2 linked regions of the Arabidopsis thaliana genome follow. The protein of the gene in region 1 interacts with the protein of each later gene in a pairwise test. Each region holds a gene or a part of one and is shown on either strand. Other genes may lie near its edges. The genes, in order: SNRK2.2 and ABF1.

The links.
Region 2: the proteins of SNRK2.2 (region 1) and ABF1 interact in a two-hybrid assay, tested with the Arabidopsis thaliana proteins (one study listed by BioGRID).

Annotation. Positions count from the first base shown.
Region 1 is NC_003074.8:18,741,066-18,746,409, forward strand, and holds SNRK2.2 (SNF1-related protein kinase 2.2), read right to left. Parts: upstream 3,093-5,344; 5' UTR 2,840-3,092; coding exon 2,663-2,839; intron 2,433-2,662; coding exon 2,358-2,432; intron 2,259-2,357; coding exon 2,157-2,258; intron 2,081-2,156; coding exon 2,027-2,080; intron 1,932-2,026; coding exon 1,818-1,931; intron 1,630-1,817; coding exon 1,537-1,629; intron 1,418-1,536; coding exon 1,313-1,417; intron 1,204-1,312; coding exon 1,105-1,203; intron 1,031-1,104; coding exon 740-1,030; 3' UTR 529-739; downstream 1-528. Other genes in the region: LBD28 (LOB domain-containing protein 28), read right to left, coding at 3,937-4,533. UniProt on the Arabidopsis thaliana protein: Together with SRK2I, key component and activator of the abscisic acid (ABA) signaling pathway that regulates numerous ABA responses, such as seed germination, Pro accumulation, root growth inhibition, dormancy and seedling growth, and, to a lesser extent, stomatal closure.
Region 2 is NC_003070.9:18,397,971-18,403,296, reverse strand, and holds ABF1 (abscisic acid responsive element-binding factor 1), read right to left. Parts: upstream 3,292-5,326; 5' UTR 3,137-3,291; intron 3,111-3,136; exon of another isoform or gene 2,514-3,110; 5' UTR 2,472-2,513; coding exon 1,473-2,471; intron 1,356-1,472; coding exon 1,284-1,355; intron 1,199-1,283; coding exon 1,144-1,198; intron 1,021-1,143; coding exon 935-1,020; 3' UTR 680-934; downstream 1-679. Other genes in the region: AT1G49730 (Protein kinase superfamily protein), read left to right, coding at 8-92, 171-679. UniProt on the Arabidopsis thaliana protein: Binds to the ABA-responsive element (ABRE). Could participate in abscisic acid-regulated gene expression.

The sequences.
Region 1 (5,344 bases):
TAACATAGTTTTTGTAACATAAATATCTTCTCTTTAGCTTTTTTTTTACAGAAGAAGATTTTTGTCATGTGTCAAAAGTTGATCATGAATTGGAGAGAAGTAGTAATGATTCCTTGATGAATTATCGTAATGCCAATAGTCGTTGCCAATAGTCAATAGACATTGCATTACCAAGCATTCTCCACAGAAAACATGTCTTTTACATAATCTAGGGTAGAAAATATTTATACAAATTTTTCATCCACACACAAATCTACATTATGGTATCATAAAATGCTAAATCTTTTCATCAATATAGACAGTTTAAGTTTTACTAATTGCAAATCTTAATCAAATGTCTAGCGGCATGATCAAAGCTGATGATCATAAGCCATGTCCTCCATCACGATGTCGAATAACACTATACATGAAATCGTGTGTCGTGTGAAACATAGATCATAACATTCTTAACCAAGACTCAAGCTAAGCTCCATCTCAGAACCTTGTGGGTTAGTTACATTTCTTTTTCTAGTACCATATCATTTGTATAAAATGTGCCAATAGTTATTAAACAAAGAGAAATACATAGAATATATTACATATTACATTACAATACATATATATGTATGTGAATCCAAAGCTTGTAGAGTAAAAAACAACAAACGATCCAAAAATGAACGATGGAGTGCGTGGAGCTAAGACAAAACTCCAGTGGTGTGTCTCAACAGTACGGACAAAACAGACTTTGTCCTCAGGAATCTCAGAGAGCATAAACTATCTCTCCACTACTGTCAACATCAATCTCAGATTCGGAATCAAAGTCATCCATGTCATCGTCTAGATCAAGATTATCCGCCATGAAATCATCGAGGCAACGATTACGAACAGTCGGAATCGTAGCCTCCGATATTATCTGCATAATCGTGTCAAGGCTCTGCATTGGCTGCTCAGGCTCTTGAAACTGACTTCCCATTCGGTTCTCATCCATCAAATCACCTGGTAGATTCTTCAAGAACCATTTATCGGATGTGATCTCCGGAATAGTGATTCTCTGCCACATTGGATCTCTCAGTTTGTCTATTTAGAACTCAAAGAACAAAGTTTTCTTTGAAATGTAAAACTTACTGTTGCCGGATCAGCCACGAAGATCCTCGATATTAGATGGCGACATTCTGGTGAGAGGTGTAAGTCCTCTGGGATCGAGTATGTGACACTAAGGATTCTCTGCGTTTTAAAATCAGTGGAGAAGCAAACATATACAATCAACGTTTGAAAGATAATGAGTTTGTGAATGATGATGAATGAGACAGCAAGAACAATTGAAAAACATTACTTGTATTGTCTTTCGATAATCTCGTGGCTCCTGTGGATCCTCGAATGGATAAGCTCCAACCAACATTACATATAATGTTACACCGCAAGACCATACATCTGCAAGCTGGAAAAATGTAACACCAGCTATTTCAGAGGACAACTCAAAGAATATTTGTGGTATAAACAGTCATATGGATAAGCTGGTTTGAACTCTAGACAGAGGAATTGGTCTCATGGCCTTACCTTGCCATCATATTCCTGTCGAAGAAGAATCTCTGGTGCAATGTATGCAGGAGTACCAACAGTTGACTTTGGTTGGGAATGAAGAACAGAAGACTGAAGAAAAGAAACGCATAGTTAATACTTGAGCAGAAATCAAAGCGAAAACAGACACTTAGTAGGAAACACATGTAGGTAAAGAGCATGAACGATAAGAAGCACAACGAGGAATCACAAGATGTCCCCCGCTGTTCTGCGCTTGGCCATACAGTAGCATATATAAACTTAGAATTCAGAAAACAAACCTTGAGAGAAATAAATAGTACCTTGGAATAACCAAAATCACATATTTTCAAACGAGGTGCCGGACTTCCATCTAACAATGTATTTTCCAGCTTCAGATCCCGATGGCATATTTGCTTCACAGGAAAATCAAACACAGAATTAAAACCAGAGTGGTATACACGAGAACGAGAAAAGTTCAAGTAAGTTGCAAGAACACTGCTCTGCGTACCATTGCATGACAATAGCTAACTCCAGATATAAGCTGCTGAAAGAAGAACCGAGCCTATACATAAAAAAACTTAAAGATCAGTAGTCACACATCAATACCACAACACAGTACGATAAATCAGAATCCAAACCTCATCTTCACTAAACCGTCCGGCATTACAAATCCGCTCATAAAGTTCTCCACCAGCAGCATATTCCATAACAATAGCCAAATGGGAAGGCGTCAAAATCACCTAAACCATTACAAAAACACACACAAAACAAACTCTAAACCACACTGACTTAATACACAAACACACACAGAAGAAACATCAAGGTGTATTATATTATACCTCTTTAAACCTAACAATATTAGGATGTCTCAATGATCTATGATTGATAATCTCCCTCTGAACATTTTCATCAATCTGCAAAACAACCATAAAAAAAAGTATCATCATTTATTGAGAAATATCAAAACTTTTCAAAAGCATTTAATCATAGTAACAGTAAGTAACCACCATTAAAGACACTAGATCAACAAGCTCTAAAAAGGAAAGCTACTAAATCTGGAAACTAAAAATAATCGATCATCAATCAATCACTAAAGCCTATAAATATCAAATCTTTTTTTCATTCAAAAAAAAAAAGACGAAACCTTTTCTCCTCTCTCGATGTATTTAACAGCAACAAGCTCCTTGGTGACTCTATCGGTCATGAGACGAGCAACGCCGAAATTACCAGAGCCAATATCTTTAACGAAGTCGTAACGATCACTGTCGTGCATAATCGGTAAATCAATCGGCATAATCGGTGAATTAGTCGCCGGATCCATTTTTTCTGATTCTTCTCTTCCTCTATTGCTCTTCCTAATCACATCAGATTAAGTCGAAGAATCTTCTGGAGTAGCTGGAATCTAGAAGAAGAAGAAGGAGAAAAATATCTAAGGAAGGATATGAATTTGGGGGAAAAAGATGGATCAACGACGAATGAGAAAGACAAAGGCAATTATTGGTCGCTCTCTAAGTTAGATAAGAGGAGAGAGATGTTTGCAACGACACCGTTTTCTTTGTTTTAGTTATCTGATTTGATACGACAAAGGCCGCCGCGTTTTGGTGATTTTTTTTTTTTTTTTTTCAAATATTTTTTTTTTTGGTTTTTTTAGGTATCAATATTAATTTTACTGTTCTATATTATCAACACAATTTGGTTGCTCCTAAAATTTGTAATTGAATGAGTACGAATTGTGAGGTGAGTAAATTGTTATGTCTTTCTTAAATTAATTATGTGAATGTCTCATGTATATATGTATTGTTTTACCTTCACTTGTACTTGTTTACTTCCAAAATATCCCAACTTTATGTGGGTGATTGTGGTCGTATTTTGAGCCAAGTCAGAAATTGTTTTTGTCACGAACAAAAAAAAGCTTCTTATAGATCATATAAGACGTTTTCACGTACACAGCAATGTTACATTAACCTTTTTCTAATTTTATAACTCTTGTCTAGTCGTTTGTACATAACTACAAGTGCACCTTTATTATTTTGTTATGGCAGAGTGTAGTTCTACACAAGGTCCTTGTTGAATGTTGGAGTATTTGTAAAAGAAATAATCAAATTGACTAAGGATCCTGATTAGAAATGTTAAGGTTTACGGCTTGAACTGCCGCTGAGTTTATTAACGTAAAGATAGTGATGAGGCAAAAAGTACTTTTTCGAATCTTAAAAACCAAAAAAAGCTCCGTTACCGGGAATCGAACCCGGGTCTCCTGGGTGAAAGCCAGATATCCTAACCGCTGGACGATAACGGATGTTTTGTTAACTAAAAACAATAATTGTATTTATATCTTAATGTAGTTATACAAACGACTAGACAAGACTTAAAAAGATTTTAAAAGCTTACCATTGTTATCAAGATTCAATATGATAATGATTAATGTAGGTTAAAGCATGGTCCAAATTTTTGATAAGAACTTTTGTCACGGTAACTCTCCTCATCGTGCTGCATCTGCGTCTCTTGCATTTGAGCGCTTTGTGTGGATGCAAAACGTTGAGCCTCGTTATACAACTGTTGACCCGTTAAACAACCACCGTTATTAGGTGTGTGTTCCGGTATCATCATAGGATTGTTATGCATTTCCAGATTCGTCATCGAAGGTGGTGGCACAAATGTGGGGACGATACAGTAAGAGGCAAGTTCGTTCTTGACGATCGCGAGTTGTTCTTCCAAGTCTTTAATCTGACTAAGGAGGTTGTAAATGATACCCAGACAGCCATTGACCGGATCATTGGCTTGAACTTGTGCCTCCCAAGCGAGCGTGTCCATGGCAAATTCTCTTTGGCATGGGTGAAGACTGTTGATAAGTGTAGCCACATGGCTTGCTCCAAATACCTTGTGAACCGCTTCGTAGTTGTCCAGTTTAGTCGAGGGGAAGTAAGGCGCAAACACACAATCTTCTGTGCATTTTCTCCTCAGGTGCTTGCATGCCGCGCATGGTGTCGATATTTTGTCCATTTGATGAAACATCATAATCTGTGAAAGAAAGAAAGAAAATGTAATTGTACATTTTTGATCATTTCTAGAATATATACAAAATACATTTAAATATAGGATATATCGAAATACATGATGTAATTTTTTCCTTTTAAACTGAATCAAACAAACATATTTACAGAATCTTTTTCTTAAACACGAAAATCCGAAACATGAAAAAAACAAAAACAAAAGGGAAAATCGTATGCCTAGGTCTATACACGAACTGAAAAAAAAAAATCACAACCTACGAATTTTTATGTGAATTCTAAACAGTAAAGAGATTAAGGTTTCTAAATAATATAGTAATCAGAATAGCCAATCAAAATCGTGGATTGCGTTGTACTGCACTCAAATATGTTAGAGAAGGTGTGAAGATGAAAACACAAACCTCAATGCATAATAAGAAGATGAATCTAATCAAGCGAATATCACCTGATTTCTAAACCCTATATATTAATAGAGATAAAGAATGGATATAAAATGAAATCAAATCGGTATTTATATGAAAATAAAAAAGGAAGATGAATAGAGAGATTCAGTTTTTAACCTAAACACAATGCTTCTTCAAATTCTATTCCCTACTTGTAAAATGCGTTTTGAGAAAGAACCTAAAATTGATCAACACAGATTTAGGTCAAAATTTCCTACCACGCAATTTTACTTATATAGTACCAAAAAATATTCAGGTTAGTTAATATTTTTGAAAAACAAAATCTAGATAAAACTGAATTCATGATTATCCAAAAACAAAAAATATATATATTAGCTTCCAAAAAAGTAACCAATCAAAATCAACATATAAGAT
Region 2 (5,326 bases), on another chromosome or scaffold:
GGTGCAGCTTTCAGATTTTGGCCTTGCACATTCGTCTAGAGATGGCTCTGTTTGCTTTGAGCCTGTGAATACCGATATCCGTGGAACTCCAGGTTTGGGAGAGATACTGAACAGAATAACTTGACTACTTTTGATGGAAGCTGAGTTTTAAAAACTTGAAGTTTTTTCAGGTTATGTAGATCCGGAATATGTAGTAACGCAAGAGTTGACAGAGAAGAGTGATGTGTACAGCTACGGAGTTGTGTTGCTGGAGCTCATAACCGGGAGAAGAGCAGTTGATGAAGGTAGGAACCTTGTGGAAATGTCTCAGCGGTTTTTGTTGGCGAAATCAAAACACCTCGAGTTGGTAGACCCGAGAATCAAAGACTCTATTAATGATGCTGGAGGAAAACAACTTGATGCAGTTGTGACGGTTGTGAGATTGTGTACCGAGAAAGAAGGCCGGTCTAGGCCATCAATTAAGCAAGTCTTGAGGCTGTTGTGTGAAAGCTGTGATCCGGTGCATAGCGCATTTGCTAAAGCGGTTGAAGAAGAGATAGGCTGGGATAGTAGGAAGAGAAGCAATTTGAGAATTCAAAGAGGTGATTCCCGGATCTTTGGTCCATCGTCTAGTACTACTTCCAGGTCACATTACAGCCGGAGTTTACCTCACTCTCCAATTAACGGATTTTCTTTCTGAGTTAGTCACATCTTCTCTATAGCTAAATCTGAAAGTTTTACATATGTTTATGAAAATTATGAATTCATATTGAAAGCTCTCATACTCTACACAGACTGCACTCTTAGTTAAATTCAGCTCAAAAGATTTCTACATTGTAAGCGTCTCTGTAATTTCTCCTGTACAGTAGCACTATCTTCTATTACATATTACTCTCCCAGTGTCTTCCTTTTGAGTGGTCCTGTATTACATTAGCAGGTTCTTCTTGCTTTGACTTCACCTTCTTACCACGGACCGGTAAGGGTTCTTCTCAAGCATTGTCTTTTGGCCAGCAATGGAGGCTGCTTCGAAAATTCCTTTAGCTGCAAATTCAAGTACTAGTATCAGTGAACTGTGTGTCATCAAAATGACAATAGAGCTACATTTAGACAGACACAAAATGTCTGGTAATGTAGAGACAATGATGGTGTATACATGAAATATACATAAGTAGAGGAAAAACGTTATTACCTCACTATTATGGGTTTTCATTATTTCAGCCTGCAACATAGAGAGACCGCAGTTAAATAACTGAGCCAGCTAGACTCTCTATGGAGAAGCAATAAAAATGGTAGAAGAAAAAAACCTGTTTCTTCTGCAAATCTTGATTCACTAGCTTGAGACTTTCAATCTCAGCTTCCAGTTCCAAGGTATAAGCCTGAGGTTTAGCCAAAACATCAAAATGATTTCAAAGTTCTTGAAAAGAAAACGGTAATGGCAGTTTGGTTAGATGATATTGATATCAAAGTTTTTGAGAACAAAACGGTAACTTTACCTGTTTTCGAGCCCTTGATCTAGCAGCGGATTCCCGATTCTTGATCATTCTCTTTTGCCTTCTCTCAACAACCTTCTCCAGGCCCGTATTGCTTCTTCTTCCCCGACCAAACACGTAAGGAACTGGTGATGACCAAGTATTGTTTTCTGCACTGCTCGTCCCAGGAGAAGTAGCTGTAACAGTACCCCCTGCTCCTCCCATATTACTGTTGGCTGGACCATCTGCGCTAGTCTCAAATAAACCCCTGTTGACCATATTTACAGGCGCCGCAAATGTTACATTCGCTTGTTTTGGAAAGATAGTTGGAGGCAGTCTCTGATGTGGCTGCTGCAACTGCTGCTGATGTGGCTGCTGCTGCTGCTGCATGGTTCCACCAACTTTGAGGCCTAAACCAGGTGCTTGATTCATGATCATAGAACTATTGTTCCCGTTGAACGATATGCTGTTTTGATTCGGCTGACCAAATCCAAACTCCAAACCAGCAGCACCGTTGTTAGCATAAAACCCGCTACTACTGTTTTCGTTCTGCTGAGTATTATCTTCTTTAACAACGCCAGCACGGAGTAAGAAATCTTCCAGAGTCATTTCCCCTAAAGTCTGTTGCCTCTCAAGCGCATCCGTTCCAGTATTCCCATTACTACCTTCTTTCGAATTCAGGTATTTCCAGACTTCATCGACAGTCTTCTGACTAAGCGTTCTAGGCAAGGTCAAGGAGCCTTGCCTCTGTAAACCATTTCCTCCCGGAACAAAACCACTAGGTCCCGGGGCTGCAACCGAAGATGTAGTAGTCATAAAGGCTTGAGTATCCTCAGCAGTCCATATGTTCTTGAGTAACTCATCCATATTCATAGACCCAAAATCTTTCCCCGGCTCACCTAATGTGCTCTGAAGCTCATCAAACGTTAAGGAATATAACGAAGACTGCCTCGCCAATGGCTTTGACTCATTCCCTCTAGAAGTATCGCCGCCTAAGTTGTTGATATCAATGTGAGTACCCATACTTCTTTTCTGTTTCACAACGGAATCACTTCCTTCCAAATTCTTCAGTGAAAAAACAAACGAATCAGACCCTTTTAGCTTTACCTAAGAGAGAACAAGACCAGAAAATTGAAACTGGTTTAGGAGTATAACACACCACACAACTATGTGTCACATAGTGCTTTTAAGTATACTTGCATAAGAGCAAGCAAAGAAGACCAAAAGCAAAAGGCAGGAACGTTCATATAAATGTCAAAACTTTATAAAGTTTTAGCCAGAAGCAATCAATCACAAACATATACATAGAAGTGTGTGATACAGAGAGTATAAATTGGATCCTTGGATTCAGAGAGAAATATAAGATTGGATCAAAATCCATAACTTTGACCATTCTTGAATGTATCTAAAAGATAGATCTATAAAAGATTCTGGAGTAAAAGCAAGATCACACAAACCCTCAAGAAGAAAAACAAAAAAGTCTTATCCTTTAATTTCTTTAGGAATAGTTACTTCATTACTACTACTACTTGATTTAGAACATAGAACCAAAAAAAAGACAAAACAGATATTATGAATCGGACCCAAAAAAAAAAAAAGTATAACACTTCAGGGGATGTGATAAGACAAAGACAGATTCGAGAAGAAAAGAAAACGAAAACGGATAAACAAAAAGAAGGAAGCTTTACCTAATATTATAGGCGATTGCTGAAAATAGAGAAGAGCTGCGAGAGAGAGAAGAGACGACAAGTGTGTTTGTAGTAGCTTCGACACGAACTGCCATTTTAAGGGGTTAAGCTTTTTCCTCTTATGGTTTTTTATTTTATTTATTGTTTAGATATTTTGCTTTCATTTTTTGGTAATAAACTAATAAATATCCCGTTTTAATGATTATTAAACATAGTCACTTAATTTAGCTGACAACCACGTTCATTTTTAACCAATAAGAAGCTGTAACGTGTGAGAGCTTTAGTCGCTGATTGTGTCCTTTGCCTTGTTTGTTTTCTTTAAAAATGGGATTAGATCTGATACAAATATCCATATTAACCTTGCCATTTAGACATTATTTCTGATCTTAATTAACTAACCGAAGAAAGTTTGGATAATTATAGTATTTCAATTTTAATTCGCCAACAGAAATTTTTTAAATATCGAATTCTGTGTTGTAAACTGCACAATTTTACTTCAATTCGACTCCAAGAAAATTACTAAAAAGGAAATTGATTTTTTTTTTACTTATGAACCGCAGTAAATTTTTGTTTGATTTTTAGTTGGCTAATTTTTTTTCAAAACCAAAATTCTAAAAAATCAAATCCTAACTCATCTGAAGTTTATGAATGTCTAGTCATATATTGTTGGTGTTTACCGCGATCAAAGAGAAAATCAAACCACAACAATGTTCGTAGATGGTGGTAATCTATGCACATGACAAAATACTCTATATACAATCGAACAAACTACTAGACTAGAGGTTTTTGGTTAAAATTTTATTTTGCATTTAAATAATTTTCTATGCATATAAAAAAATAAGAAATGAAATGGGAATAAAATTATAGTATAGTATCATGTCGGTCGGAACACCAAATGATTAAATTATGTGCCAAATTAATTTTAATATCATATTGTTGTTACTCATGTAAGATATTTTGTGTGCTTGATAAACTGTGATTATTATACATGAATGATGTTGAAACAACGGCAGAAGTGGGTAGTGATTCTTTTTGGGTCCCATCATCCCAATGGTGTGCGAATTTTGACATCAAGCAATAATCATTATATCCAAGCAACCCAAAAGAAGAAGACTTTTAAGAAGATTTGCGTCGAGTTTAATACAATTCACTTCCAAATTTGGAAATTTTGCCCTCTCCTCACTTGGTAAATGGTATGTTGATGATTTCTACTTCTTTATAATTTGATAACTTATTTAAAAGAATTGTCTACTTTCGTGTCACCGTTGGGCCAGCGTATAGAATGAGCATCAAACCATGATAGAGTTCTCCTTCATTCTTTCTTTTTGTCATATATGTGATCATTGGTATTTTTTTTTTTGTCAATATTAATTTAGATTCATACGAGCTAATTCCGGGAAATATTGTTTACATATGTAATCATTGGTATTGTAATGCTAATTTTGTTTCTTTTTTTTTAAAAACTTCCGCTTTCTTGTGGAGCAAAACATATCAATTACCCATTCAACAACTTTCTAGTCTCTACTAACAAACCTCACGACTTTGTTAATCAAAAAAGAAAAATTACCTCTACTACTAGAAGTAAAAATAAATGAAAAGGAAGAGTTTTCTAATGGGTAAAAATCCAAAAAAAAACCTTAACTAATTTTTATTTAAACGTTTAATACCCAATTGTTTTTTCTAAGAAGAAAAATACATGAAAAATACATGAAATAATAAAACTGTGCAATTTAAATATTCAAACAATTAAATATTGTTATTTTCATACTCACGATCTGACAACAAAAATAAAATTTTAATTTTACCCTTATCATCTCAATTAACTATTAATTTTTTAGATTATATGACATTAATTTTCTAATTTTGGATAAAATAATTTTATTAACATATTAGTTTATGGTGTCTAAAAATTTCAAATTTTCATTTTTATTATAATTATTTTATTTTAAAATTATTTAGAGAAAATAAAATATTTTTTAAAGTGGGCGGAACAATCTCCGCTCGAATTTAAATCTTTCACGAATAAAACTATTTTTGAAAAAATCTGAACCCGAATCTCATCGTTTTTCTCAAGATTTTTGACAAAACTATTTTTGAGATTCGGGTTGTGTTTTTTTTCAAAAAAAGTTTATCCATAAACTAAAATCCTAATATTTTTCTCCATCAAAATCATAGAGTCAATTCATCAAC